7 linked regions of the Mus musculus genome follow. The protein of the gene in region 5 purifies or fractionates together with the protein of the main gene of each other region. This does not show direct contact. Links are inferred from orthologs where the notes say so. Each region holds a gene or a part of one and is shown on either strand. Other genes may lie near its edges. The genes, in order: Stx8, Mettl9, 2310011J03Rik, Pds5a, Slc30a4, Fut8 and Cip2a.

Region 1 (3,950 bases), on a different chromosome or scaffold from region 5:
AAAAGGTAAAACAAACAAACAAACAAACAAACAAACAAACAAAAAACCCTGATGGTCCAGATGAAGTTGAGGGTAAAAGCTGATGTGATGACCATGGAGTCAGAGCAGCAATGAAGTCGTTGCCTCAAGCAGCTTGAGGCCAAAACCAAGAGCTTTACTTTTGGACTCTAGCTTTCAGTAGAGATAAAGAATAGTCAAGCACAGCAGAATAGCCAGGCTTGTGAGCCACAGTCCTGGAGCAATAGGTACCTTGAATAATTTTCTGCTGCTGTTGTCGGATCTCATCAAAACCCAAACCTCTGGTCTCCTCCGGCTCCTCACAGAGCCAAGGGTTGGGAGTTCCTCGCTTTGCTTCTTCGCTCATCAGGCTGGACCTGAGAACAATAGCAAGCACATTACATATCTCACAAAACACAACCGGCTGAAAATCACTGTGACGAGCACGGAGCTGGCCAGCCTGGCACGCTTTGCAAAGCCATCTCCACAATTTATCGCACTCTTAGTTTATTCTAGGGACCATGCCCAGGGCTGTAAGAGATCTGAGGCTAGGCTGTGGTCCCCAGACAATTACACAGCATTCTACTAACCCTCCAAAGATGGTGGTAAATTAGGTTGTTAAGTCTCAAACCACAAGGCCATCGGGAAGTTGCCTGTTTATCAGAACAAATTTTGTTTCACAGGCTTTGTGACACAGAAGGCACAGAAATAATATTTTTTCATACAAATATATACAAATAAAAATACAAATATTTTCATGCAAATATAATACTAATAATACAGATTACAGCATAGAAAAGTAATAAAATCTCCCATTAAAGGGTGCTTGGTTGCTCACAGAAACACATTCAGAGTTCCAATTCAACTGTGTGACTACAGTCAAAACAATCACACTGAGTGTGACTGTCTACTGTGATCATTACCCCCCTGAAGCAATGCACATTGGCTCTTGTACAACACATCTTGGTCTTCCATCTAAGGACAGAGCGCGTAGTTCCTGCCGCTGCCTCCCTGTCCAAAGGATGTAAGAATCCCGTTGCCCTGACTGCTCCAGTGCAGAGTTGAACGGGATTCACACCATTGCTCTTGCTGAGCCTGAGAGAGGGGTGATGATGATGTAGGAGTGGAGGAACAGTAGCAGTCACCATGGATTAAGCAACTGCTATGTGCAGACGCTCTCTGGGTGATTTAGTGTACACTCACTCATTTCTCCATTGCTTATCATTTTTCAAGCCCTGATGGCATCTCTTGTGTTGTCTGGAAGTAACTGCTACCCTACTGTTTGGCCTTCCATATCGTTAAGCCTTCTGACCACTGGATAGGAAGTGGACATAGAACCCACCTCCCCTCTATTGCACCCTGCTCCCCAGTGTAGAGCAAATAGCCACGAGCATGCCACTTACTGGGAGTATATAGACAGTAGCATCTACCTCTGGAAGTTTTAGCATGGATTAACTAGAGTAATTTATGTATTCATAAAATGATTTTGTCAATACTTATTCAGTAGGCACTGTTTTAATCAAACAAACTATGTACAAGCTGATCAAAATTTTGCCCTGACAATATACAGCTTCTCCTTGTGGGTGTTGTCCTCATGTACTTGTGTGTGTATATGTTTGTGTGTGAAAAGAGATGATAATAATGTATGCAAACTACTGAATACAGTGTTTGGGAAATAATATCTTTTTCAATAGATTAACTGTTTTCATTATACCAATTACTGCATTGTCTACTAGGAGGTATTAAAATTATTTTAAACAATATATTCCAACATTCTATTAATTTCACTTTTAACTAAAAAGAGACTATATCCTTCAAGAAAACCTGGGCTAAATGCAAAGACTGTTTTGATTCTTTGGACTAAGATTTTACGCACAGGTCTGGTCTCATATTCAAATGTGCCAATTAACATGTCAAACACCAGTATGACTTTCTTCCAGTCTATCAAAAAGAGAGATGTGTTCTTCAAGGTTTTACTTGACATGATTGGCCCCAAGAAGCCAAGATGTCGAGGTTTCACACTTACTCCATACATAATCACTTAGCTTCACCTAGCTTTGAAGACAAGGAAGAAAGAAATGAAAAGGGAAGTGAAGCAGGCAATTTGCAATCCAAACATATCCATTAGCACCGGAGTCATCTTGCAAGTGCCAGCATGAAACACACCGTAGCTGTATGTGGCTCACTGCAAAAGCCTGGGTCAGAAACTATAAAAATCGCCCGAGACTCAGGAGTGCATTGGTGGCCAGCTCTGAGCAGTCATTTCAGTGAGTGTATCAAAACTGAGTGGTACTGCTCCAAGGTTAGTATCAAGCCCTTGTCTATCTCTCTCTGTCTCTCTCTCTCTCTCTCTGTCTCTCTCTCTCTCTCTCTCTCTCTCTCTCTCTCTCTCTCACACACACACACACACACACACTAATGTACACACACTATACAGAGAAACCCTGTCTCAAAAAAAAGAAAAAAAACACAAAATGAATGTACACACACTTGTGCACACAGACAAAATTAAGGTATTAATATGAAAGGACAAAAACAATTCAGCAAATGTGAGGTGATTTTAAGCAACCTCAATAAATGGCAAGTTAGGACTCCAGCTGTGTTGACGTGTGCAGTTTGTGTGTGGTATGTGTATACTTTAATCACCTATTAGGGAATAAAAGTAAAAATGTGGGCACAAGCTCATATCAATAGTAAACATGATACAGAGAATAGACTTCCCAGCATGACCTAATTCCCAGAGCTAAGCCACGCCTACTTCCTGCTCCTCTGACTTGGTCTTCCTCGATTACTGATGGCCTGGACCTACCAGCAATGCACCTGTAGCATTCCTATGCGTCTATGCATCTGAATGCACTTCATCAGCTTAGGGTGATACCTACTATTAGTCACTACTGCTCTACTGACACTGGCCTTAGTAGAGTCACATCATATTCTGAAGTAAGGATAAAGAATGGTACATGAATAAGTAAAATAAGCCAAGTGGTAAAAAAAAATTTTTTTTTGAAAAAAAACAAACAAACAAAAAATAGGCATGTCCTCCCTCCCTTTCCCTACAAGAAAATCACCAAGCTGAAGACTTTCCAATGTATCTCTGCCCTTGGCATTTTCCCACAGGTGCCCTGTGATGCCTGTCTCATTTAAGAATCCTCAAGTAGTTCGCAAAGGCAAGGTCAAATTCACTCCTTTGCCCCATAAGCTTTTCTCCTCCCCATCTCGAGTCTGCTTAGTGTGCCATCCAGGGCCTTGTGTTACTACTGTTGTTGCTGCTGCTGCTGCTGCTGCTGCTGCAATTATCCTTCTACCTCACAGCAGTGGCTGAGGTGTTCTTCAGAGATGGCTCACTGTCCTCATGCACAGCCAACATGTTCCCCTGTTAGTACAGCCTAGCTTTAGACCCTCCTCACCTCTCCTACAGACCCATTCTGATGATAGAATGACCTAAAACTGAAGTCTCACTATTATTATCTCCATGGTTCACAACTTCCGTGACTCCCTGGAACTATAGGTTACGTGTGAGCTTTAAAAGATGGTCCATGGTCTCAGCAGCAGCATCTCCCAATGCCCCAGTACCACACCCTTCATCTCCCTGAGTCGTACATCCTGCTCACTACCACAGAGTCAAAGGCACAAACTTTCACACTCTCATGTTTTTGCATGAGTCTGGAGTATCCCCACCCCCACCCCTTTGTCCATCTGGCAAAATTCTATTCATCCCCTAAGGCTCAACTCAAAGGTCACTTCTGCTGCTGAGTCCTTCCTGATCCCCACTCCATCCCCCTTTCCTCAAATCAATCACTCGCTGGCACTCCCATGGCACTCTGTTCACGACCTCGAACGTGGCATTTATCAAGCAGGATTGTAGCTAGTTATTTACTCATCTGTCTCCCTTCCTAAGTTATGAGCTCTGTGAGGAAAGAGGCCACATCACAGTCATGTTTATATCCCCAGCA
Region 2 (3,950 bases), on a different chromosome or scaffold from region 5:
AGGTAGACTATGCGGTCATTCAAACTTACTTCTACATAAGGTCCTTCAAATATAACATCCCAAACACTTATTTAACACTGAGGTGAGAAAGGTTGATGTTTCTATCCACAACTCAACTTCTAGAATCAGCTGTGCCTGATAGAGCAGAGTCTACGTTTACCTCTTCCTTCCATTTAAAGTCTCATTAAGTATTCACAGCAATCCGTCCTTCTACCACCAGCCTTGGTCTGTCCTTTCTCTAGACTAAAACTCTCCGTGTTTTCCAAATGTTCAATCTGCTCCTGCCCCACCAGAGCTGCACAGATGCTTGACTAAGGTTAGTCTAAGTGAGAGACACTCACAGAAGTCAGTGGGGAGATAAATCTCTGTCCAAGGCTTTCCAAATACCACAGGGGCAGGTCCCACCTCCACATGTGTAACCAGTCTGTAGAAAGAATTCTGGAATTTTGGTTTCTTTTAAAAACACAGAAATCTTATAAGAATATGTTTTCCTTTTAAGCCCAGGTGTGAGGATATGGGGCTCCTTCACAGCAACTGACTACCATTTGCCTTGTGCTCTAGCAGGGACATAGTTTTGCCAGCTGCAGATAGTTTGTACAATTGTGTGATGTTTGGCATTCTGGAAACTTCTCAGAGGGTATATAAATGCTAATACCTCAATAGGTGGGTATGGGTGGTGGTTGTTTGTGGTTTGTTAGTAGCTGTGCTCAATGAAGAAGCAAAGTAAAAAGCAAGAAATTAAATATTAAAGAGATATCTATCTCTCCCCCTCTATCCTTCTTCCTCTCCTACCTAGTGATAGAGGTAAAGAGGATGGGGGGTGGGGTGAGAACGCACAAAGTAGCAAAGACCAGCTACAAAGAAACAAGAAAAGAATTATTCAAGGACCCTCCCCCCATCCTTCTTTCTCTCCTACCTAGCTATAAGGGGTGAAACTGGGGGATGGAGGGAGATAAAGGGTAGGAAAAAGAAGAACCCAGAGTAGAAAAATTGGCTATAGAAGCCAATATACAAAGAGAGGTCTCTCACATTTTCTTAAGAAGTCTCGGAACACAGACTTCATACCTAATAAATACTCTTCATAAGTCTTTCAAGCACCAAGTGGTCTGTAACCTGAACTTGACCCTTTACATCCATCATTACTGACATCTGAGTGTGTGTGGGGCATGAAATCCAACTACTGTCAAGGGTGTAAAGAAATTGGTCAGTGGGGACATAAATAAAGTGGAGAAGATACAGTAAATTCTCAAAAAAAAAAAAAACCCCACACAGACTTAAGGGGCTGGAGAGACAGCTCAGCAGTTTGGAGCACTTAGCACTTTTACAGAGGACCTTGGTTTAACTCCAAGTACCCTCATGGTGGTCACAATCATCTGTAACTCCAGGGGATTCCCAACACCCTCTTCCAGTCTCTGTGGATGTCAGACACATACATGGTACACAGACATACATGCTGGCAAAACATTATACATATAAAATATATCTAAAAACAAAACAAACAAAAACCCTAGACTTAACATGTGATCTAGCTATTCCACTTTTAGGCATATACCCAAGAGAACATATTACTCATTTGGCATGGCTGTAGTGGTCTGAATGAGAATGGTCCCCAGCTGGTAAGACTATTCAGGAAGGACTCGGAGGTCTTGTTTAAGGAGGTTTCACTGGAGATAGGATTTGAGGCTTCTCTCTCTCCTTCATGGCTGTTGTCGCAATGTGTGTCTGAGCTACTGTGACAGTGTCATGCCTGCCGGTTGCCAAGTTCCTGTCAATTGGTCACAGGCTCACCCTATGAAACTGGGAACCAAATAAACTCTTTCTTGTATAAGTCATCTTGGTAGCACAGCAATGAAAAGTAACTAAGACAAATTGGTGGTGGTGCACGCCTTTAATCCCAGCACTCAGGAGACAGAGGTAGGCAGATCTCTGAGTTTGAGGCCAGCCTGGTCTACAGAACGAGTTCCAGTACAGCCAAGACTACCCCTTGGTATGTCTTGGCCCTCTTAGGAAGAAAAAGAAAACAAAAAGAAAAGGACCTAAGACAAATGTCAGAAGCAACCCCCAAACATCCCTAACACAGACTGTGTGGGGTGTGCAGTAAGCCATGAGTCCTCCTAAGACTCCTCCAAGACACAGTACACAGAGTAGTCAGATTCATGCCAATACAACAGTGATTACAGGCTAGAGGAAGGAAGAGTGCAGGATGATATTTCAGACTGTTCTTAGGGAAGATGGATAACACGAACGTGCCATGACTGCTGACCTAATTACAGACTTAAAAATGACTAAAGGGATATATTTTACATCACATATATGTTACCAAAATTTTTTAAAGCATATAAAACATCTGGACATGTCACTGATGAGGTCATGTCCTCACATCTGCCTACCTCAAGCTGTCTCTTACTTATGCTATCTTCTCTGTGATGCCAAGTCCTCTGCTTCAGAAAAATGCTGCCATGGAAAATTCCCTTTTTCCGGTTTCCCACTGATTTGTGTTTAATTCTTAACCATGGAAAACTGCTCCTGATTCTTATCACTAGGATACATGCAGAGGTAGAGTCCCTGGCCTTGCATTCAATTCCCAGTGCTACAAACAAACTAGACCAAAACCCAACACACATATACATCAAAACCCAAGAAATGCCCAACAGGCACGCCTGGCACCCTCTAGAACTGGTACCTGTATTTCTTCTTCTGGAGCTGCCAGATCATTGTTTCAGAAAGCTCAGTGGCGTAAATTTCTTCAAAATGAGGGCTCATGATTTTCGTGACTTCTCCATCTCCAGCACCTAAATCAAGAAGTCTATGGGTTTTCCAGTCCGGATTAATTCTAAGCAGTCTCTGAAACTGATCTGGTGAGAACACAAACATGGAGCCTCTTCCTAGCAACCTGGGGAAAGATGGACAGGAGGTGAGATCCACGACTCTAAAGAACGCCCGTGTACACAGAGAAAACAGCACCAAAGCTTTCTGACATTATGAAATTAGTATACAATTCAAAAATAGTTTATCTTTCATGGCCAAAAACAAATTCACAAAGAAAAGGTGGAGGGAATGGCAGAGACTCAAGGCTAACCATAGCGTGGGCAGAGGAACCAAACACACCTTTTAGGAAGATGGATTCAACAATGGTGATAGGAAAAAAATAATTTCGTATAAAAGAGTCTTAAGATGCAGAAAAATTGGATTTAAAAATGCTTTAAAAGAGGAAAAGAGCAATCGTTGTGAGATTAGCCACACTCAGGTTGGTTTATAGTTAGCTGAGACCTGTATTTTATTAAAGGTCCTAAAACATTTCAAGCTGATAATATTGACTGAAAAAAATAAAAATAATAAGCGGCCGGCAGAGGTTATGTGGGGCCTAAAGGAGCCCTCCCTTAGAAAAGCAGGTACAGCCCAAGCAAGCCATAAAGAAGTACACTCCCTACTCCCTTCCTGCTCCCAAATCCTGGTTGTTCTCAAATGAAGTAAAACTCAAACAGCACAAGTCCGAGGAGCTATTACACTGCAGTGAGGCTGAGTGCCTACAGCTGCCAGCAGCCCGCTTTTAAGATTTTCTCTGCAATCTGAAGCAGCTTCTGAAGCAATTCCTCCGCAGATCCTGGAAAAGAGACTGTACCATTCTATCACTTCCGGGAAATAATCAGAATGTAAAATAGGTTTACCATTCAATGACTTCCAAGATGCTTGCAGCACAACCAGCTTCAAGAACACTAATAAAAGGTATGGAGATGGTGTAATAAATTCTTTCTCTTGCCATTAAGGCCACAGAGAGTTTAACAAAATCTAATGATATATTTACAGTAAGTTTTCTGCCTCACACAAATGTTGAGACTGGGAACTGAGAAGAGCCCAGAGACAGCTAAGCATGTTCTAAAAACCACAACTTCTTACCAAAGAAAGCAGTATCTCATAGACACATACCCCATGCCCACTGTTTGTGTTGC
Region 3 (4,445 bases), on a different chromosome or scaffold from region 5:
CCTTGTCTGGGGGGCTCTGGCCCTAACTGTTGGGGTCAGTGTCATAGCAGAAACTCCAGACACCAACTGCTCAATGCCAGGACCTTGCCTGCCAGCCAGGGCTGCTGGCCTACAGGTGACTGGTAGGGAGGGGAAAGGGAAGGCCCTTTTCAGAACAGAGCCAAGTGGCTCTAGGAGACCCTCTCAAACCTCAGAGGCATCCCAGGATGACCCTGAACTGGGGTTGTAGACTGAGCCTGTGCACCACACACTGTGGGAGCCCAGGTAGCCAGCATGCTGCTCTGTGCCTCAGTTTCCCCATGTGGGCCGTGGGGAGGACTCAGAGTAGAGCAGCAGAGATGTCTGGGCTGTGGTACCAGCATGCAAGGGCCATCTTTCTCCCAGCCACCTCCTCCCATCCTGCCAGCCTTGGGGGCCCAGCAGCCACATTTGCCTTCTTCACCCCAGACAGTGGGGGACACAGGACACAGTGTGACATCCAGCCCAGGGTAGGCAAGAGCTGACGAGCCCTTAGATTCAGAGCAGGAGGGGTCTGCTAGCCGCCAGGCTGCCGATGGCTGCTAGCGCTCTGAGCTGGACACCAGTGGTCTACCGGAGACTAACCACTGGGTGCTTGACCAGGGCATCATGCCTACCAGTTACCTCACTGTGTGTGTGTGTGTGTCTGTCGCTGTCCCTGGCCAATGTCACCCCTTGCTCATACCTGGTCAGTGTGTCCTCTGCTGCCATACCGTCTCCCGCCCTGTTCTACTACAGTGTTACACTTCTGTACATACTGACCCCCGACCCCCCACGCAGACCCCCGAGTGGACACCCTGCCTGGCTTCTGATTCTTGTTCATATCTTTAATAAAGCGAGCCACTCCATCGATCTGTAGCTTCATCTTTATCACTGGCTCTGGGGGGGGGGGGTCGTTCCAAGACCTTCTTCTACAGCTCTGTTCAACCCCAGAAGGTGTTTCTGAGCTCCCCACTGACTCGACAGCGTGTCACATCCCCACATGCTGGAGCCGAGGTTGACTGAGGTTCAGCCAAGCTGTACCTGGCCATCAGCCACTGGTCATTTGTGGTGGAGGTGTCATGGTGGAGGTGGGGACCAGGAGTCCAAGCTGCACTGGTCAGGGCAAGTTGGACCCCGTGACCGCCAGGAATGTGGAGTGTCAGGAATGATGTAGCCACAAGCTAAGGCCACTTCTGACAAAACAGTTCCAGCCAGCTTGGGACCCAAGGAGGCAGGTGTGGTAGCTAGCGCCTGAGCTGCCAAGGGGTGGCAGGGGGCTTGGGTACCCAGTGATCTAGCCTGGCTTAAGGGAGAACTGTGTTCAGGCATCAAACATCTTTAATCTTCCAGAACTAAAGTCCAGCCACCCCAAGAGTGGTGGGTCTTCTGCAAGAAGGCAAACTAAACCCCAGATCCAGAAGGGGCAACATTCACCACACACAGGGACCTGGCCTTTGAGTTCCTCTTGGACCCCTGGGCTCCCCAGAATGGAAACTCCCTTGATGAGTCTCCCCGGCCCCAGGGAGAACTGAGAAGGCAGTGTAGCCCTAGAGGGCCTGAGCCAGGCTCTATGAAGCGTGCAGCTAGCCCATTCTCTCAACCAAGATGCCAGTGGCTGGCCTGCTGTGGATGCTGGGGATGAAGACCTTCACTGCCCAGGGTGACATGGGACAGAAGAGCACACCGGTCACTATGGGGCAGACTGGCTTTGAGCCCCGACCTGCAATCAAGTCCTTGATGCAATTTAGGCCAGTGTCCCCATAATGAGGAGGTGGCCATGTCCCTAAGTCCCATCATGAATTAGAGGCCATTAAGGATGGAAGAGGGAACAAAGCTGCTAGCTGGCAAGGTGGGCCACTGGGTCTCCCCGGGCCAGGGTTGGGACAGCAAATGTTGACCCAGAGCCTCTGGTTGCTAGGTGCCCAGGCCTGGACCAAGGACATCAGGTGTAACTTCGGCTCTAGGAGGTGGCTGAAGTCACCTGGCTGATATCCTGTTCCAGCCGCTGACCAGCTTGCCGAAGGCCATCGAACTTCTGTCTCAGAGCTTCCCCCGCCTGCCGCAGCCTCTCATTCATAGCCACGTAGGCCCGGCTCTGTTGGTAGATCTGCTCCTGCTGGATCTCAGAGTCCTCAGCCCTTGGGGATGGGTCTGGGGGGTCTGAAGAGAAGAAACAGTGTCACCATCCCCAGGCCTGACATCCACCAACCCAGAGGCAAGAGGATCAGTGGTTCAAGGTCATCCTTGGCTACATGGTGAGTTCGAGGCCAGCCTGGGCTATATAGGCCTATTAGGCACTAGAAAACAAGACTCAGTTTCAGGTTTTGGTGTCATGGAGAGGACAGGACACCTCCAGCCACCCTGGCCTGCCGTTCTACCCAGGACTGCCTGGATTCCTGGATCCTAGGCCAGGAGTCGCAGATATGGCCCCTGCAAGTACTCTGGCCCCCCATTAATTTGTAGGAGCAGCTGGCCACGCCCCTCTGAGACAAGGTCTTGAACTCACAGCAATCCTCTTGCCCTAGACCCGGGTTGGCAGCACTTTCAACTTTTTTTTGTTTTTGTTTTTCGAGACAAGGTTTCTCTGTGTAGCCCTGGCTGTCCTGGAACTCAGTCTGTAGACCAGGCTGGCCTCGAACTCAAAAATCCGCCTGCCTCTGCCTCCCAAGAGTTCGGAGCACTTTCAATTTTATTTCTGATGATCTTTCTTTGCAGGGGAAGAGAAGGGCAGGGACAAAAAAGATTCGTCCCTGCAGTCGGTTTGCTCCCCACTCGGGAGTCTCACGTTCTCCTACCTTCCGGGGCCAGGGCAGTGAAAACAGGATCTTGAGCGGGTGCCCCTCGCACGTCCTCCAGGATCTGCTCCACCGTGGGAGGCGCGGGGCGAGTGGGCAGTACCACGCGTTTCTTCGCCTTGGAGTTCATCTTGTAGGTGGAGCGCGCGCTAACTGGGGGTCCACTTTCGGCTCGGCCCGCCCACCTCGCGAACTCCTACGCACCCCTTACAGACCTGCGCCGAGGTCCCTACCCCGTCTCGCTTTCCCTCCTCCCGGAACCTCGGAGTTTGGCTCGATCTCCGCGCCAGTTTGCTCTTGGAACACCCCGCTGCCTATCTTCGTTCCAAGAACCTAGGCGGCCGCCACCGCTTCCGCTTCCTGCTTGAACGCCACTACGTTCCGGCACTTCCGGTCCACTCCAGCGCCACGCCTCGCGAAACCCCTCCCCCGTCTTAAAGAGCCCTAAGCCTAGATGCTCCTAGTTGCTATCCAGTAAGATCAGAAGGAACTCTGCCCTCCTTCACCGCGTGTGGTGGGAGGAAAGGGGTGAACGTGATTTCGAGAGTAATCAGTGTACAACCATTGCCAGGTACACAGTGGGCGCTCAATAAATGCTGGATGGAACCTAGCCACAGGCTTTGCTTCCTTGTGGTAGACCTTTAACTCAGTACTTTAATCTCAGTACTGTGAGGCAGAGGCAGGCAGACCTCTGTGAGTTCAAGATCATCTTGGTCAATATGGGGAATCCCAGAACAGCCAGGACTACACAGTGAGACCCTGTCTCAAAAGAGCAGTGGGAAAGCCGGGCAGTGGTGGCGCACGCCTTTAATCCCAGCACTCGGGAGGCAGAGGCAGGTAGATTTTTGAGGCCAGCCTGGTCTACAAAGTGAGTTCCAGGACAGCCAGGGCTAAACAGAGAAATCCTGTCTCGAAAAACCAAAAAAAAAAAAAAAAAAAAAAAAAAACCAGTGGGGGATGGGGGAGCGAGCTAGCTTCCTGTTCATGGCTGTATGGTAATTCAGCACTTGGCAGATCTGGGCTCAGAGCAGTCTTCCTCTGTGGGTCCTTATTCCTCCAGGGGCCCACCCTACCCTCAAGGACACCATAAACTCGACATCTTCTGTTTAACTTTTATTTGGCAACTATGAGGTTAGACATGGGGCTATGGATGGCTTGGAGACAGGGAAGGGGCAGATGATTGGTGGCTGTGGTCTGACCTCTTGCCCACTGTACCTGCTCCAAAATGAGTAAGGACACATCTCTTCCACTGGGAGCAGCTGAGGCTGAGCGGTGGGCTGTCACCTGACCCATGCAGCTGCTCTGCCCTGGCCTTCTGGGGCAGGCTTCTCTTCCAGCCTGAGAGCAGGACCTTGGGGTACCGGCCTTCTGTCCTGACAGCCAGGCATCTCTGGCTCTCCAGCCTCCAGGGATCTGTGCATGCATGGTTTTGGGCACTGGGGTATCTAGCCTGGGGCAGGTGGGCCTTCCTCAAGCCGAGGGGCCTCCCAAAGGCCCTGGCCAGCAGAGCCAGCACCATGGCCCAAGACTGGTAGCTGGGGGGCCACCAGAGGTGGCAAGCCTTGGAGGGGCTCTGGAGCTCTCCCAACACAAGGGACAGGGGACAGGCAGTGTAGTCGCTGCTCAGGCTGCTGCAGCAGGTGTAACAGG
Region 4 (4,583 bases), on a different chromosome or scaffold from region 5:
GGTGCCTTTTAATTAAAGAAACCAGGTCTTTCAAAAAGGCAACAAATGGAAACTTAAACACAGGAACACTTTAAACACACAACATTTACTGGGCACTGTGCTCAATCCTAAAATCAGGCCCTAGAAATCCATTTTATAAAGTTGCATAAGGCAGAAACATTGTCCTCGATGTTCCCTGCCTAGCCTTCCACCATGTCTGACTTTGAAGTGCACCTTTTAACACAATGGGTCTCAACCTTCCTATTGCTTCCTCATGTTGTGGTGACCTCAAACAAAATAATTGCATTGCTACTTCATAACTGTAATTTTGCTACTGTTATGAATTACAGTGTTAATACCTAATAGACAGGATATCAGATAGTTGGGGGGGGGTCTCGACTCACAGGTTGAGAACCACTGTTGTTGGCAGGGTGTGGTTATGCCACTAGTGTTTTGGGAAGTGGAGGCAGGAAAATGGTTAAGTTCAAGGGCAGGCAGCTGGGTTACTAGTCCTCTTTTTTTTTTTTTTTTTAAAGATTTATTTTACTTATATGAGCACACTGTAGCTGTCTTCAGACACACCAGAAAGGGCCATCAGATCCCATTACAGATGGTTGTGAGCCACCATGTGGTTGCTGGGAATTGAACTCAGGACCTCTGGAAGAGCAGTCAGTGCTCTTAACTGCTGAGCCATCTCTCCAGCCCACTAGTCCTCTCTTAAACAAGTCATCAAACCCATTCTTTGCCTCTCCCACTGTCCACACTGTACTTCAATAGTTTAAGATCTTTCACTAGACAACTGTTAGCCTCCTCACAGAACGTCACAGCCTACTCCCCACAAGCCAACTGTGACAACCAAAATGACTCTGAAATTGCCTACAACACCCCCTGGTGCATCAAAGTTGTCCAAAGTGACAATCACTGCTCGAAACTGATTCCATAACAAACACTGCCCTATGCAGTAGCAGAAAAGTTAAGTCCCAAAATGACAGCGCAAGATTGTTACACCAAGAAAACCGGTGCGCACACACAAACACAAACTCACAGACATATCAACAATCCCGTCCTTCAACTCTCTTGGGCATGTGTACTAAAATCATCATTTCTCCTTAAGCTCGAATTCTGAAAAATCTGTACACTGTATTAAGTTTAGCCCACTGTATAGATAGTTAAGCTCCCATTAGAAAATTACGAGAATCTAAGGGGGACAATATGGTTGTTTGTGCTCAAGTCAGTCTTTTCTTGGAGTAGATAATAATAGGAACTTTCGTGGGTAAAATCACTGTCTACACCTCAGGGTATCGAGCCCCTTAAACAACATCCACTAAATAAAATAACCACAAGGGAAACAACTAACCATGCATGCGTTCTTATGGACAGAAAATGATCACACTCTTTAAATTCCCCGTCCTTTCAGAACTTATCCAAAGATACCGCCAAGTTAGAACAGGACTTTTCCGGGGCGGTTAAGATATCTTCAAAAACTTAGTACTAAAAACTCCAAAGGCCAGGTTGAGAGTAGTCCAATGAAACCACACGAGTCACAAAAGCCATCCAGAGCGCAGATCGCCGACCCAGACCCTTACCTTCAGACGTTTGATCATTTCATCGGTGGTGATCTTGTCGGTGATCTCTTTTACTCCCGGAGGGTAAGCGATCTTCCCGTCCGCACTCACGACGCCACAGAGGGCAGTGGCAGGCTTCGGCTGCGTGAAGTCCATCCTGGGGAATAACTTTTCTCTCACAGTCCTCTACCGGCCTCTATCGGTCAGAAAATCAAAGTTCAGCGGGAAAAGGGGCGACTTTGTAACCTCTTTTTCATTTCAAAAATCTCTAATCTAGAAAGGGCCCTTTCTTCCCCCCGAGGCCGGGGACCCCGCCACTCGCTCCTTCCCTGGGTTTCGGACCCGGCTAGGCGTCCGCCACCCCCACCCGAGCCAGCCCCGGTGCCACGGGGTTCTCGGCTGCAGCAGCCCCGGCCGCGAGAGGCGCCGAGCAGCTCCCGGAGTTTCCTAGCCCTCTTTTCACAATGAAATGTATCCCCGAGCACCTAGGACGGAAGTTTGGTGGCCTCGGGGGGACATTGAGGACCCAACGGCCCCACTTGGCTCAGGAGAAGCGGCTGGGTCCCCGCCTGGCCGGTCACCTCCGGGAAAGGAGACTCGAGGCCTAGAGGGTTCAGCTTAGGCCGCAAAACTAGGTACCCAAGAGGACCCACGCGCGGCGCCGGCGCCCGGGAGCAGAACGCCATAGCCGTGCCGAGCCCCGGGCTCCCGGCGTCCCCGCCGCGCGGCCGCCCCTCCCCGGCCAGCCCGCCACCCCCGCCAGCCGCCCGAGCCCCTCGCCAGGAAGCGAAGGACCCGGCTCCGCACTTCACATTTTTGTTCCTTAACTTCAGCAACCGAGCCCGGCGGCATCTCAAGCCCCTCGGTCGCCCGGCGCTCCTCGGCACCGCCAAGGCCTGAGCCGCCGCTCCGGGCAACCCCGCCGGGCCTCCGCGCGCGCCCTCCCCTGCGGTCTCCCCTTCCGTCCCTCCCTCGCCGCCGAGGGCGCGAGCCCGGCCGCCGCTTTACCTCCTCCTCATGCGGGCGGACGGTGCAGCGAGCGCCGGGCCTCTGTCAGGTGGTTGCGCCGCCGCCGCCGCCCCTCGTCGGGCTGCACACAAAGCGGCTCCGTCCGTCCCGCCGCCGCCGCCGCCGCCGCCCGCCCGCCCCGGAGCGGCGCTGGGGCTGGCGGTGCCGAGGAGCAGCCGCCGCGGGGGGAGAAGCGGGCCGAGCGTGCGCCGGCCGGGGCGACACTGCCGCTCTCCGTCGGGCTGAGGAAGCGCAGCCTCGGCCGCGGCTCCTCCGAGAGCCCGCGCGCGGGTGCACGCCCGCGCGTCCCCCGCGCCCGCCCGGCCGCTCGCTCGCTCGCCGGCCGGCCGCCCGCACCTCGCGCCCACCCGCACCAGACGCCCTCTCGCCGCGGCGCGCTCCCGGCCCGCCCGTGCCCCGCGGAGCCTGAGCGTCGCCGCGCACAGCCGGAGCCCGTCACGCGAGCGGCGCGAGAGCCCGCGAGAGCACCGCGCGCCTCGCTCCCGCCCCTTCTTCCGCCGGCCGAGCCCCCGCCTCCCTCGAGCCCGACGCGGCCGCGCGCGTGGTGGACAGCGCCGCCACCCGTTTGGCGCCAAGACCTGCCCGCGCGGGCGCCTCCGGGGGGCCGGCAGCCGAGCCGGCGCGCGGAGGAGGAGCCCCGGTGGCGGGAAGCGGACCCCGGGAGGCGCGGCTTTGCGACACTCCCGGCCACCGCTGTCGCGGAGTCCGGGGCTCTTGAAGGCTTGGCTGGCGGGGATGTGACCGGACCGGTGGAGAAATGGTTAATTATCTGGAGAAACGGCTGCTTTCCCCTCCAAACAGAGCTCTGGAAGCCGAGGCAAAGTTTTACAACTCGGGCTGCTCATTCTCGCGTCTTCCGGAGAGTCGCCCTAGGTCGCAGCCTACGACCTTAGTTAGACTCCTACCATTAAGGTTTTCAAAGCTGCAAAATAGGAAGTTGGCATGCGATCTCAAGCTATGGTGCCGGGGCTTCTGGCCTCCCAGTCATTTTGGGTACAGGCTGAAAACACAGACTAGGGTTCCTGATAGTGAAGCCCAGAAGAAGAAAGAGGGAGGGTGTTTTTAGAGATTTACAAATTACCTATGTGAATCTGAGACCTCTTTTTTTTTTTTAAGTTGTGAATACACCAAAGCTCTACTTTTTCTCTCCTCCAAAGGAAAGGCTTGCCAAAGAAAACTTAGTGCAGCGGTGCTTGAGCAATTTAAGGTAAATATTGAAGCGAATGAACCTGAACAATACACACATAATTTCAGGAAACCACCTTTTAAAACAATAAGCAAGCCGGGCAGTGGTGGCACACGCCTTTAATCCCAGCACTTGGGAGGCAAAGGCAGGCGGATTTCTGAGTTCGAAGCCAGCCTGGTCTACAGAGTGAGTTCCCGGACAGCCAGGGACAGCCAGGGCTACACAGAGAACCGTCTCAAAAAAACAAAAACAATAAGCAGAAGGGGGTGATGGTGGTGCACGCCCTTAATCCTAGCATTTGGGAGATAGAGGCAAGCGGATCTCTTGAGTTCAAGGCACCCTGGTCAATCGAGCTAGCTCCAGGACGTCAGACAGCCAGGGCAACAAAGAACCCCTGTCTCAAAAAAAGTAAAAAATATTAATAATAATAATGAAAAGAGGAAGAAGCTAGGCCGTTATGGTTCACGCCTTTCAACGGGAGGCAGAGGCAGGCAAATCTTTGATTTCGAGGCTAGCCTGGTCTACAGAGTAAGTTCCAGGATGGCCAGGGAAACCCTATCTCAAAAAAACAGAAAGAAGAAGCTGGCAGCAATTGAATTTATACATTGTTCTTTAAAATGCCCACCTTTTAACTGGCCTATGGTTGCAGCTAAATCAAAAGATTTAGGCAAGAGGATTTTTTTGAACTCAAGATTTCCAGTAATATGAATATGCTAGTAATACGTGGCAGGGAGGAGCCAGGTCTCCTCTGATATGCCAGTGGTCCCAGAACTTGGAAGGCTGAGGTAAAAAGATTTGGGAGACCTAAAGAATAAAAACAGGAG
Region 5 (3,950 bases):
AAAGATTGCTAACTTCTGCTCTAAATGATTAAGGATGAAACATAGTTCAGTAGTTTTGAGGAGGAAAAAATGATTTTAAAAACTAGCTAACAGACTAGTGAGATAGTTCAGCAGGTAAAGGTGTTATTGCTAAGTCTGACAATGTGAGATTGACTCCTGGAACCCATGTGGTCAAAGAAGAGAAATGATTCCTGTATATTGTTCTCTGACTTCCATGTGTACACAGTAGCATGCATGTGCCCCACACACAAATAAAATAAATACAAAACTCCTTTGAAATGTAGCTAACATAAAAGTATTAAATATTAAATAACATACTTGGTTCTACTTAAATTCTTTAGTGTTAAACTCTGAGACAGGTGGACAAACTAACAAGTTTATAATGCTCCATTTCATTATACTTCTAAGTAAAACTGACTGACTATATTTTTAAGTATGAACATATTCCATGGTCTGTATACATGCATGTGCAATAATCTTTTGGCTCATAGTGTGTGAAAAATATTGTGCTTACATTACATTAACTGCAACTCCAACAGCTGCAGTGATGAGCATGACATCGCCGTTTATTTCATAGTTCATATGGATGGTTCTCTGCACAGCCTCATATAAGAGGAATCCCATTAGTACATACACCAGCATTACACTGATCATGGCCGACAAAACCTCTACAAAGGAAGACAGAAAATGCAGGCATCTTAAGCACAACGGTTACACTTCATACGAACTAGACATGGTTCAGTTTCCTACTTACATTTTCTTTACAGAGGAAAGAGCACTGTTATTTTTGTCATACAACATTTTTTTTCTTAAAGTATTTAGCAGCTTGAATGATTTAGATCCTTAACTAATTCATATCCATCCTCTCTCTATTCATATCTCCATTCACAAGGTAAAACTGATACAGAAAAAGAAAATTTTAATGGCATAAAACATACAAGATTAAGATTAAACATAAAGTTTGCTGTACTATAAAATATCAAAGTTATTGTACTTGGCATGAAAATGCCAAAGTAGAGCTTCAAAGATTATGTGAAAATATTAGATCCTTTGTTATTCTCTGACTTAGTGTCTTTTTCTTTCTCTTTATAGCATTTACTATAATTTGTGATTGTATTTGTGTCTATGTGCACACAAGAGTCACCATGTCTCCACAGCCTTATTCATTTATTCATTCATTCATTCATTCATTCATTCATTCATTCATTCATTCATTCATTCGTAACTAATGGGTACTCATTCAGTCAATGAATAACTATTTGTCTTAACAACGTAGACCACTCACAACAGAAGCATATATGTGTTTGTGGGTATTGCATAAGTTACTGGTCTAATGTAAGTATTTGCTTTGCTAATGCTATGATGCCAATAATAAGTATATTCCACTAAAGTTACATGGCAATTGTCTTTCCATTCTCAGAAAGAACTAAGCAAACATCTAAGGCATGTTCCAGAGATCTATAAAATTATAATGAACACAGAGATATCCTCTCTTCCACTTTCTTTTCCACTCTTTCCTGCCTTCTTCCAATAGAAGATAGGAAGAAAACAACAGTAGGGTGTGTTGGATTTACCTAGGCCTTCCGAATTAGTCCAACTGCACTCAAGCTGATGTTATAGGGATTTTCATCAGTCTATAGTCCAGAGTCTGTCTTTGGGTTTCCTCTCTTTTATTACAAATTGCTTCTCCTACTCCTGCTTTTTCATCACTCCCTATACCATACTACACTGCCAACTATGGTCATGCTGACTGATGGTATCCAGTGTTAGCCACTTCAGTCATGCCTTCCTTATGCCTCAACTTAAACTCCCATTTCTAGCAAGATTTAGAGCTTAATTTTTTCCAGTAAAAGGTCATGTGATATGATTAAATTTGCAATAAGATGTGAATAATAAAAAGCACAGCTTTTGATATAGGTAGGAGAAAGCTGTTAAAATGAATCACAACCAGGTAGAAAGTTTATTAGTATTATTTTTGATGCTTATATGAAGGAGATGCTTTCTGTTTCTCTAGTATCAGTGGATAAAGCAACAAACTACACAGAATTAGTTGTAGCCAAATCTTGCCCAAGACACATCTAGCTGGTTCTGACCATGATCTCTGCTCAGGAAACATTATGAGCAATACCTGTGCTATCATCTTGCCATTAACACAGTCTGAGGATTTAAATGATCAAATCATAAACACTGCTTTCTATCCTAACCACAAACAGTGCTGCTTAGTATAGTCTTTACATCAGTATAGTCCCTGAAGATCTGGAAGAAACTTCACATAAAAAAGCCAATTAAGATAATCTATACAGAGAAAGGCAGAAAGGGCGAAGCAGGATGGGAGCTGCTGTCTTCAGAATGACATACTCTCTTAGAAGAGAATCTTTTTCCTCCTAAAGATTTGTGGTCCATCCTTTCGTCTTAGCTTCAAACTCTGTCTCTGCAACTCCTTCCATAAATATTTTATTCCCTATTCTAGGGAGGAATGAAATATCCACGAGTTGGTCTTCCTTCTTGATTTTCTTGTGTTTGGAAGTTGTATTTTGGGTATTCTAGGTTTCTAATATCCACTTATCAGTGAGTGCATATCAAGTGACTTTTTTTGTGATTGGGTTACCTCAGTCAGGATGATATCCTCCAGATACAACCATTTGCCCAAGAATTTCATAAATTCATTGTTTTTAATAGCTGAATAGTACTCCATTGTGTAAATGTACCACATTTTCTGTATCCATTCCTCTATTGAGGGACATCTGGGTTCTTTCCAGCTTCTGGCTATTATAAATAAGGCTGCTATGAACATAGTGGAGCATGTGTCCTTATTACAATTTGGAACATCTTCTGGGTATATGCCCAGGAGAGGTATTGCTGGATCTACAGGAAAGGATGGACCATTCAGAGACTGCCCCACCTGGGGGTCCATCTTCTGGGTATATGCCCAGGAGAGGTATTGCTGGATCTACTGGAAAGGATGGACCATCCAGAGACTGCCCCACCCGGGGGTCCATCCCATAATCAGCCACCAAACTCAGACACTATTGCATACGCCAGCAAGATTTTACTGAAAGGATTCTGATATAGCTATCTCCTGTGAGGCTTTGCCAGTGCCTGGCAAATACAGAAGTGGATGCTCACCGTCATCTATAGGATAGAACACAGGGCCCCCAATGGAGGAGCTAGAGAAAGTACCCAAGAGCTAAAGGGATCTGCAACCCTATAGGTGGAAAAACAATATGAACTAATTCCCCACAGAGCTCGTGTCTCTAGCTGCATATGTAGAAGATGGCCTACTCAGCCATCATTGGGAAGAGAGGCCCCTTGGTCTTGCAAACTTTATATGCCCCAGAACAGGGGAATGCCAAGGCCAAGAAGTGGGAGTGAGTGGGTAGGGGAGCAGGGCGGGGGGAGGGTATAGGGGACTTTTGGGATAGCATTTGAAATGTAGATGAAGAAAATATCTAATAAAAAAGATTTGTGGGATCTCTTTCATTGTGGTTTCATTAAATCCTGTATTATTAGCTCTCAGAGTAAAGTGACATGCCCATAATCAAATAAGTCCAGACACTTAAATACAACACATAAGGCTTTAGTTCTTTCTTTCTCTCTCCCCACATTAACCTGCTGCTGTTGTAGTGTAGTGTAAATAAAGAAAACTCAGAATGATTTCACACCATCCACAGCTACACATGAAGCAACTGAAGAGACTGTGGTGACAGCCCTAAGAGAAGAGGGCTATGAGCTCTCCTGCTCACCTGGCCTATAGCATTTATTTTCTTTTAAGAAGTACAAATTTTGTTGTACCAAAGAATGTAGACTATTAACAAATAATGATAAAAATTAGTCAAACATTTTCAAGACTGGATATTCCAAAGAATTTATACTGGCCTTTTGTATGCATACATACATGCTACTAAGAAGCCTTGAGTTCATTTTAATTTTTTTCAGAGAATGAGTGAAGT
Region 6 (4,750 bases), on a different chromosome or scaffold from region 5:
AGAAAATTTCAAAATTCATCACTTTTGAGGTCACTGTTACTCCTTTGGAAAAAAATTATTTAGATTTTATTTTTTTAAAGACCACATTATAGAATCAGAATGATTGTCTTGGTCTCCGTTCTATATATATCAAATACAGCTGACTTACAGAGAAAACAACCTCAAATGACTTTTAGATTTTAAAAAAATCCTTAAAATACAATCTGTAGTGTGTCATATTTAAGTTATTTTGAATCACTCTCCTAGTAGATCACAAGACACCCTTCATATTAACTCACTATCTGATCAAAGACATTTCTGCACGTTCCTGCAATCTATGCAAGTTTCATTCCAGCTGTTCAGCTCTTCAACTCAAACAGAATTCTCGATTTATAACAGCAAACTGAAAACCCAAACCTCCAAGCCACCCTCATATGCTTACAGCCTAGTCGTCTCTTGTTCCCTACATTTTCACTCGGCCTGCAATTTCAAATGCTATATATATGTGTGTTAAAATACTGTCGTATTTATAATTAAGACTTCTTATCAGAAGGACAGCAATGTACAGGAGCGTACTATTGTCAGAGACTCCTATGTTGCCTTAAAGAAAAGAAGCATCTTACTTCTTTGCTTCAGTATATAATTTCTCCCCTAAAATACTTTATATATGATATACCCTTTAAAAGAAGTATGCATATTACACAGAACTTTAACCAAGAAAATAAATAAGCACTTAACCCCAGGAAGAACAAGACAACTAAAATAAAACCTTCTTAAGAGTTTCTACGGAGCAAAGGCAAAGTTAAGTCAGTGACTTGTGATAAATTTAACTCTTAAATTGATAAAAACTTCCATTGCATTTGTTCCCTGAAACCTTTAAGTTCGGAGTGATCTACGGGAGGTACGGGAGGATATGGTTTTCCTGGGCTCACCTTCTTGCGTTTTCTTAAAAGTAACGTGCAGAATTAGACACAAGGAAAAACACTACTTTCTTTGCTTTTCTCCAAGGCCTCCACGTTTAAGGCAAAGCGCTAAAAGCTCACCAGGGTGCGAAACCCTAACCATGACAGTGCCATTTAACTTAAGAATTACGTCTCTGAGGATTGCAAAGCCCACATCCAGAGAACAGGTGCTGCTACCGACAAACCACCCCAACTCCAGCAGGACAGACCTCCGCTGAGCTGATATGACTCATTTAACCTTCCCAAATAAGTTGAGACACTCCACAGCCTCCAGCTTGTCATTCGCAGATCAAAGGGAGGGGATACCGAGGCACCCAGGCCATTAACTACCCTGCCTCAGCCACTAGCCAGAACGCATCTTTGTGCAGGTTCACTCTGATTTCCAGCCCCAGAAGCCCACACAGCAAAGCAAAGCAAAGGAACCCACCTTCCCACGGTCTGACCGTGGGGACCCGGCTGCGGGGGCAAGGAGCGGCAGATGCAGAGATTCGCTGAGGGACACCTCCCACCCCGCCCCCATCCCATAGGTCCTGGGATGCCCGACGCCGCGGCGCCCCTCACCCAAGGGGCCAAGGCTACGCCGGGGTGTCCCGGAGGCTCCCTCCCCACTTTTCCCGGGGCCGCTGGCTGAGCAACGGCTGCAGCAGTTGCAGCAACAGGCCCGGTATCGGCGGGAGGACGAAGGAGCGCCCCGAGCCCAGGCTCCACAGAGCCCGCGCCCGCCCCGTCCTGGAGTCCGCGGCGCGCGGGGCCCGGCTCCCTAACGCCCCCTTACCCGAGGCGGGAGCGAGGCGGTCGGCGCCGTCCCCCGTCGCCGCCGCCGCTGCCTCCAGCTGCAGCTGGCCGCGGCGGGAGAGTGGGAGGGGTGCTGGGGTGGAGGATGCTACTCCCGACTGAAGGGAGAGGAAGAAACGGAAACAGGAACCGCGGCCGCCGCTTAACGGAGCCTTCGGCGCCACTGACTGAGGGAAAGCGCAAGGCGGCGCGAGCCAGGCAGCGGCTGACAGCGCGAGACCGAGCGCGAGCCGGGTCCAGGACGCGCGACCCCGAGCAGCGCCGGCCCCATTCCGTGAGGAAAGGGAGGGACGGGTTGGCTGGGAGCCGGGGAGGGGGCGGCGGGGGCCTGGAGCCCAGAGAACCCGGCCACTCGGGTCGGCCCGAGACCACGCGCGCACGCGCCGGAGTGGCTCCGACCGGGAGCGCAGGCGGGGAAGCCGCCGGCCGGCGCGAGCGAGGGAGCGAGCGAGCGAGCGTGCGCGCGCGGAGAGGGGCGCGCGCCCCTCGGCGTCCCAGCCTGCTGGGGGAGGGCGCGCATGCGCCGGCCGCGGCCTCCTCCAGCGACCCTGGCATGTGCACAGGCTCCGCCCCGTCCCCTTCCTCTCTGTGCGGGTGGACAGCGGAGCTGCAGCATCCACCGGGCCACGGCGGGACCCGAGTTCCAGCCGGACAGCGGCCGCGCGCGGGCTCCGGCTTTGGTCTCTACAGGCGAAGGCCGCCTGAGGGTCGGAGGCTGAGGGGAGCAGCGCTCCCCACGCCCTGGCCGGCCTGGCCCACCACCCAGAGGCGCACCCCGCTGGGGCTCAATAGGGCTCTGTACTAGTTTCGGGGTACTCTCTGCTGCTCATCCGCTGAGGCACCAGCACACAGTGCCACCTCGGCTCCGGGCGGTCCGGCTACCCTGCGGGCTCTGTCTTCATCTGAAGAGAAAGAACCCCGCAGAGCCCGAGTTCGAAGCCCGGCCGTTCGCAGCCGCTGCTGCCTCAGCCCTTCGGAGGCGGAAGTTTATTGAGTACAGGAGAGGAGAGGCTTTTCCCTAGGATGCTTCCTACCCGCTCGCACTCGGGGATCCTGACGCCCGCGATGCTGAGCCGAGTGCCGAAGGGCTACCTCCGACAGACCGTCCGGGAGGGCGAGCTGGGCGGGAGGACCCAGCCGCGCAGCCAGGGCACACAAAGTAGTCGCGGGCCGAAGGGGTGCTGCCGGGGCCAATCAGAGCGGGAAAACCAGTGAGTGGAGTGCGAACTGGCCAATCAGAGGGCCGGAAGATGAGCTTCCCGTGCCGAACTCTTCCCTGTAGCCTGGGGACCAGATCCCAAGCCTGAGGACTCAGCCGGGTGACTGAGTAGAAAAGCTGCCCTCAAGACAATTATTCCTCCCAGCACAGATAAATACTAGTAAATACTTTGGAAACGTATCTCTGAGTAAACAGGGCCACCCTTTTATATGCTAGTAATCAAAAAAACACAGAAAAGACATTAAAGAGGTCGTAGCCTGCCAAGAATGCAACCTACCTAATAACTCTCATAAATTCCCAATGTTTATTCTATATCAGGAACTGTGTTTCTAAAATGCAAAGGACAGTGCTTTTTAAAAAGGAAAAAAAAAAAAATGCCTGTGCCTTCAGGAGCTCCGCACCCTGAGAAGCTTTTCCGGACCTGTGACTGGGTTAATGTCTCTTCGAAATAAAGCTCTCTGAGAAAACACCGTGGCTTATTGAAGGTCACACAAAACTCTGGTGAAGTCAGAATTATGATCTAGCCAAAAAGCTTGGGTGTCATCATTCAACAAATCTGTAGTCATTTATTAAATGCGTAGATAACTTCCGTGAGACTCTCAGTTCTCTGTTGCAAATAAGCAAAATTTAGGCTTATACTGTACTTAGATGGATTAAGGGCTAAAATTTCAACAGTCAAAACCCTGAATTATTTTTCCTTTTGTGTGAGTATGTGCATGCTAAGGGTGTGTTTTCTCCTGGGCTACACCCACAGCCTGGAACATTTTTAGGAGTCAGAGGTAAAATGTTTACTTTGAGGCTTCAGCACAGCATTTAAAAAGCACTTTAACAAGGATGTATGGCTTGAATGTATTCAAGGGAAAAAGAGGAACCATTTCTAGTTAATTAACACACGCTACCATTTGCAGTACTTGAAGATCTCTACATTCAAAGTTTTATGTGTGCCTCGAACTCTCTGCTCCTTTAATCTGGCTTTAATTATCTCCTAGGAAATATTAAAACTATAGGAATCAAAGCATCCCACCTACTTTCTATTTAAGAAAAAGCCACTAGAAATATTTGTGAAGAACTTAGTACATCTTTATAGAACAGCATAGTATATAAGAAAGCGCCAAACTGATGACTCTGAAATACAGTGAGAAAGTAGTTCTTCAGCAGTTCAGGTCTCTGCTCAGTGTCACAGTACGCTGCTCTCAAAGATCCTTCAGGCCATGCTCAGGATATAGTTACCATCCCAGAATTAGAAGTATCAGCTAAGCAACTGATATGTGGGAACAAATCTTTTCACATTCAGTTCTAGACCAGTAATGAATTTCTGGAAAATTCAAACAAGAAGTAATACTAACTGAGCTCTTTGAAAACTACAGTCTTAAATCGATCGATTGCTGCGACGCATACCTGATTCTAGCACTGAGGAGGGAAAGCTGAGGCCAAAGGATTGTTTTAAGTTATAGTCTAGCCTGGACTATCTAGTGAGCTAGAAAGACCCTGTCTCAAATAATAGTAGTGACTAATTGATTCCAAAAAAAATTGGGAAGGAAGGCTCAGTTTTGGGAGTGTTTGTCTAGCATACTACAAATCCTAGATTCAACCTCCAACACTATAAAGGAAAATATATATATATATTACTACATGTCTTCTATTCTCTCCAAAGGGACTCTGTAACTCAAATCTTCCACAAGCCAGTTAAGTGTTAACCGGTTGTACACATCACTCACAGAGAGCACACCTTGTGAGGGCGTTTTCTCTATAGTCTGCAGCCTCCCACTCTGTGGCTGAAACTCCTCACACTCTC
Region 7 (4,582 bases), on a different chromosome or scaffold from region 5:
CGTGTGAGCTTTTGTCCAGAAACTACCTATAAAAGGGAGGCAAATGGGTTAAGGGCTGGCAATTTTTATTTCAATTCCATTTCAAATAAACCAATTTTCTAAATTGCTACTTAGCCCTTTCTTTCCCAGTTTAGAAAATTCACATCTTTTGTTCATTCTGCCCATATATAGAGTTCTTCCTTCTCTACCTGAATTACCTATATCATCTACGATACTGAAAACAGACTAAAATGTGCACTAGAACCAACTAGATTTATTATTCCGAAGCCTAGTATACTCATTTCATATGTTTTGAAAATTAAATATGAAGCACAATGAACAACTAATGACTGCTTTCACGTTAAATCTAGCAGCTAGGGGATTACACAGAAAGAGTAAAGTTAACAAAGAATGTTTTAAAATGTAGCAAGAATAAATTTTTTAATAATTTTTCCTCTTCAATCCAGTTATTTTAGTGAGGGAGATTATAAATAAACCTGTTATCTAAAGTCAAACAATTTGTTATTTTAGAATTAGATTAACGTATCTCAAATACATACTCTAAAAGGTCACATCTAAGCAGACTGCTTTAGTAACCCTCTAATTATTAGAGTCTAATACCTCCTTCTGTATCTTCCTTTTATTTTTCCACTTTCTTACCAAGCTTTGCTCTTGGAGTTTCAATTTATCTATTCCCTAGTAGAATGGGTTTTAAAATTAATTAGCTTGTAAGATGAAAAAATATGTCCAAAGTAAAAAAAAAATCACACAAACTGTTAACTTATCTTGGAATCAACTTGGTCATCAACTTGGTGATCTGAACATAGTTTCTCTCATCTAGTAATACTTAGCTCTCTAGAAGAGGAAGGCAGTTTCTGCTTTAAACATGACTGGGGCCAAACATGTGACTCAACAATAGTATAGCATCTAGTAATTAGTTAAGATAAGGTAAAAATTAAATTTTTACTGATGGGAACTAGCTCAATGAGGATGCCTAGCACTTAATCTGGCCATGGCACTGACCTAAGAGTGCTTTCCACCTGGGAACTCTTTTCATCCTCATAACCCTGTAAGAAAGGTGCTTCTGACTCAATTTGTGTTTTGAGTAAACTGGGGCATGCATACACTGACGATAAAGAAGCACGACTCAGATTTATACCCCAAGGGGTTGAAGCCACGCTTTTAATAACTAGACTCATGGTCAGTGATGTGAAATGCCATCACATCGAATATCAGACTAGACCAACATGAGCAAAATGACTCCAAGCACAGGTTCTGTGTGGGTTATAAAGTCACACTGCAGTCACACTGCAGTCACACTGTGTGGGGTTATAAAGTCACACTGCAGTCACACTGTGTGGGGTTATAAAGTCACACTGCAGCAGCAGTGCAGACGAATGACTAATCGTGTCTCTCATGATAAATATTTGTGTATCCTCGGAAACTACATCACCCTCAAAAACGGTAAATACTAAGAACTAAGGATGGGCCTGGTTGCGCGATGGCAAAATCAATGCACTGCTAGTACGTAATGCCAAGGTCTTTTTGAAAGGCGTTTTAGCAACATGAAGCATTACTGGATGTGGGCTGGATGGCTCAGCAGCTAGGTGCATGCACTATTCCGCAGACAATCTGAGTTGGAGTAGCAGTACCTCAAGGAGTTCACAGCTGCTATCAAGACCAGCTCCAGGGAACAGAGCCTTGTGCCTTCTGAGGGTCCTGCCCACACATGCGCATACATCACACACAGACAAACATTTAAAAGAATATTAAAATAACAAAAAGAGGAACATAAGCCCTTAAGACCTGATAGTTCTACTGGTAGGTTTATAAAAGAGGGTTGCGTTCAACCATAATAAAAATATATGACTGGAATGCACTTATTCTTAATTCCACACAGTTCTGAAAACAATCCAAATGTATTTTTGGATCCGTGGAACACTTACATAAATATCTACATAAATACTTACACATAAAAAAAGGAGTCCTGTTTATACATACAACCTGAATGAATTGCCCTGATTATCTTCGGTGAATGAAGCCACTCAATATTCAACAAAGAAAACAAAACAGACATAGAAAATAGGCACTTGTGATATCTATTCCAGTTGTCAACTAAGGCTACATCTGGAATGAACTAAATCCAGAAATGGAGGGCACATCTGCCCAGATCTTGAGGCTGGAAGACACAGGCTTCAGACATGGGGCGATGTGCTTTTGATCCAGATCTCGAGGCATAGTGGCCATGAAAAGCGTAGGCCCAGGCAAGGTAGTACATACCTTTAATCCCAGGGGAATGAGACAAGTCTCCTGAGTTCAAGGCCAGCTGGGATTGCAAGTTCCAAATCCAGGTGTGGTGATTCATACCTTTAATCTGGGCTCTACCTCCTACTGGAGGACTACATAAGGACAATGGAAGAGGGAATTCTCACTCTTCTTTGCCTGCTTACACTGACTTTCCAGTTGGAACCTACTTCTTCAGGATTCCCGCTTACACAGATGACCAGCGAAAACAACTAGTGTTGAGGGAGTGAGCAACTACTAGATTCCTGGACTTCCCAGTCACAGCTAGCTTCCCCACTTGTTGGGTTAGTAGGAGCGAAACTTTAAGTCCTTACAATAAATCCACTTAATATAAAGGGATACTCCATAAGTTCTGTGACTCTAGAGAACCCTGACTAATACAGCACCTTAAAAAAAGATCCGGAACACACACACACACACACACACACACACACAGTGCGCTCGCATACACCCCAAAGCCTCCTGGTTTGGGTCCGTACACACACACACACACACACACACACACACACACACACACACTGCGCTCGCATACACCCCAAAGCCTCCTGGTTTGGGTCCGTACACAATCCCCTCCTGGCACCCACTCGTTGCGCACACCCAGTCGCTGTCGCCAGTGCAAGGACAGCGAAGCAGCTGCAGGTCTGCCCAGGGCGAGACCTCCATCTTCCGGCCCCACAAGAAAACAGGAGGGGACCGAAGGAGGGGACACCCACTCGCACCCCGAACCTCCTTACCTCCAAGTGCCTCAGCAGCTGAGTGGCGTTCGCCTCCGACTTAACGGCCTTGTACTGACTGATGCTCAGGAGCAGGGACTTCAAGCAGGCGGTGGAATCCATGCCGACGAGCCGGCCTGTCAGCGACCACCGACACCAGCCACCCTCTGTCTTCAGCGGTCGCCGCGCATTTTTTGATTTTTTTTAAGCCCCACCCCTCTTGCGCCTGGCAGCTTCCTGTTCCGGTCGGACTCCGGAAGTCTGGGAGCAGCGGGTGGGACTGCAGTCGGTGATTGGCAGGGTGGGCCTGGGTTCCAGGCGCTGGGGTTGCGGGAAGGTGGCAGGGAGCCATCCCCTCCCACCCCCGCCGCAGTCCCCCTTTGGCGGAGAGGCCGCGAGGTTTCGGCTGGAGGTCCGCGAACACGCGGGAATCTCGCGAGACGAGCTCGTGCGGGCTCATTCTGTGGAGGGCTTCTGGGGCGAACGGGGGTCTCCGTGCCGCGCGGGCTCGGTCCCCGGGCCTTCCTCGGCCTGGGCGCGGCGGGCTCGGCTTTCCGTGCGTGCCTCAGCCTCTGCCCGAGACACGGCCGCTCCCCCCTAGTCTAGACACGGTGAGGAACTCGGAGCCGCCGAAGCTGGGGGTGGGGGCGTAGGTTTGGAGGCGGCGGGAGAGGGGCCTCAGGTTCTGCGGCCCTGGTCCCTGGTGGCCGCAGGCGACTCGCGCAGGCTAAGACCTGTGGCGGTCGGGGTTCCGTGATGAGGCAGCCGGAACTTTACGGTAGGATTTGTCAGAACCCCCCATAGAGAGAGAGCATCCCGGAGTCGCTCCCGGACGCGTTCTTGTCAGCTTTGATGTCTGTAGGCTGAGGGGCCTGTTCTTGTCTGGCGTGATTATTTTGCACATTTCTGTGGCGTCAAAAAAAAAAAAAAAAAAAAAAAAAAAGAAAGAAAGGCACCGTTGAGAATTTTATTATTATTATTATTTTAATCGGAGGTAATGATGTGCACGGATCTAATAACGAAGTGAGTCAGCAACTGGTTCAGGAGCTTAAGCTAGGTTGTGGGATCGAGTAAATGCCCATTTGACTAAGTTCTTCTGAAATTGTGGGAATTCAGGGAACGTTCCTTTTTGTTTTTTGTTTTTTTCTCGTTTGTATTGGTACCTTTTAAAGACGTCATTTATGTTCATATTAAAAGAAAATAAAAGTAAAGCTAACTGATGGCTGGAAAAAGATTGTGCCGTTGAGATAGTCACATGAGAGTTTGTAGCTAGTGCATTCATTCATGCATTCATTCATTCCATTTTAAACAAACATGTATAACGGGGCTAGGGATTGACTGTCACTCAGAACAAAGATGAGGACGTGGTGCCTGCGGAGAAGCAACCATCTAATAATAGTCCAAATAGGAAAGTACTGTTGGAATTCACTACATAAACGAGGAATGCGTCATCACTAAAACGAAGAGCAGCCAGTTTGCTGACAAGTATTTTTGCACCTTTCTCTTTGTGTCTCTGCATTTTACTGCTTTAGGCTTTTCATGAAGTGAAACCTAAGAGTAGACTATTTTACACGATAGTTTATTCA

What was found.
Region 1: the proteins of Slc30a4 (region 5) and Stx8 purify together in Homo sapiens (co-immunoprecipitation; 3 studies listed by BioGRID and IntAct, with this or other methods). This does not show direct contact. The link is inferred for Mus musculus from reciprocal best matches to the Homo sapiens genes SLC30A4 and STX8.
Region 2: the proteins of Slc30a4 (region 5) and Mettl9 purify together in Homo sapiens (co-immunoprecipitation; 3 studies listed by BioGRID and IntAct, with this or other methods). This does not show direct contact. The link is inferred for Mus musculus from reciprocal best matches to the Homo sapiens genes SLC30A4 and METTL9.
Region 3: the proteins of Slc30a4 (region 5) and 2310011J03Rik purify together in Homo sapiens (affinity purification with mass spectrometry; 3 studies listed by BioGRID and IntAct, counting the BioPlex papers as one, with this or other methods). This does not show direct contact. The link is inferred for Mus musculus from reciprocal best matches to the Homo sapiens genes SLC30A4 and C19orf25.
Region 4: the proteins of Slc30a4 (region 5) and Pds5a purify together in Homo sapiens (affinity purification with mass spectrometry; 3 studies listed by BioGRID and IntAct, counting the BioPlex papers as one, with this or other methods). This does not show direct contact. The link is inferred for Mus musculus from reciprocal best matches to the Homo sapiens genes SLC30A4 and PDS5A.
Region 6: the proteins of Slc30a4 (region 5) and Fut8 purify together in Homo sapiens (co-immunoprecipitation; 3 studies listed by BioGRID and IntAct, with this or other methods). This does not show direct contact. The link is inferred for Mus musculus from reciprocal best matches to the Homo sapiens genes SLC30A4 and FUT8.
Region 7: the proteins of Slc30a4 (region 5) and Cip2a purify together in Homo sapiens (affinity purification with mass spectrometry; 3 studies listed by BioGRID and IntAct, counting the BioPlex papers as one, with this or other methods). This does not show direct contact. The link is inferred for Mus musculus from reciprocal best matches to the Homo sapiens genes SLC30A4 and CIP2A.

The regions. Positions count from the first base shown.
Region 1 is NC_000077.6:68,007,739-68,011,688, reverse strand, and holds part of Stx8 (syntaxin-8), read right to left. Parts: intron 375-3,950; coding exon 250-374; intron 1-249. UniProt on the Homo sapiens protein: Vesicle trafficking protein that functions in the early secretory pathway, possibly by mediating retrograde transport from cis-Golgi membranes to the ER.
Region 2 is NC_000073.6:121,051,030-121,054,979, reverse strand, and holds part of Mettl9 (methyltransferase-like protein 9 precursor), read right to left. Parts: intron 2,894-3,950; coding exon 2,684-2,893; intron 1-2,683. UniProt on the Homo sapiens protein: Protein-histidine N-methyltransferase that specifically catalyzes 1-methylhistidine (pros-methylhistidine) methylation of target proteins.
Region 3 is NC_000076.6:80,317,388-80,321,832, forward strand, and holds 2310011J03Rik (UPF0449 protein C19orf25 homolog), read right to left. Parts: upstream 3,162-4,445; 5' UTR 2,926-3,161; coding exon 2,796-2,925; intron 2,161-2,795; coding exon 1,961-2,160; 3' UTR 868-1,960; downstream 1-867. Other genes in the region: Pcsk4 (proprotein convertase subtilisin/kexin type 4), read right to left, coding at 4,419-4,445.
Region 4 is NC_000071.6:65,695,198-65,699,780, forward strand, and holds the start of Pds5a (sister chromatid cohesion protein PDS5 homolog A), read right to left. Parts: upstream 3,040-4,583; 5' UTR 2,553-3,039; intron 1,741-2,552; 5' UTR 1,701-1,740; coding exon 1,566-1,700; intron 1-1,565. UniProt on the Homo sapiens protein: Probable regulator of sister chromatid cohesion in mitosis which may stabilize cohesin complex association with chromatin. May couple sister chromatid cohesion during mitosis to DNA replication.
Region 5 is NC_000068.7:122,688,885-122,692,834, forward strand, and holds part of Slc30a4 (zinc transporter 4), read right to left. Parts: intron 669-3,950; coding exon 515-668; intron 1-514. UniProt on the Homo sapiens protein: Probable proton-coupled zinc ion antiporter mediating zinc import from cytoplasm potentially into the endocytic compartment. Controls zinc deposition in milk.
Region 6 is NC_000078.6:77,236,220-77,240,969, reverse strand, and holds the start of Fut8 (alpha-(1,6)-fucosyltransferase), read right to left. Parts: upstream 2,867-4,750; 5' UTR 2,771-2,866; exon of another isoform or gene 1,717-2,770; intron 1-1,716. UniProt on the Homo sapiens protein: Catalyzes the addition of fucose in alpha 1-6 linkage to the first GlcNAc residue, next to the peptide chains in N-glycans.
Region 7 is NC_000082.6:48,992,815-48,997,396, reverse strand, and holds the start of Cip2a (protein CIP2A), read right to left. Parts: upstream 3,210-4,582; 5' UTR 3,120-3,209; coding exon 3,018-3,119; intron 27-3,017; coding exon 1-26.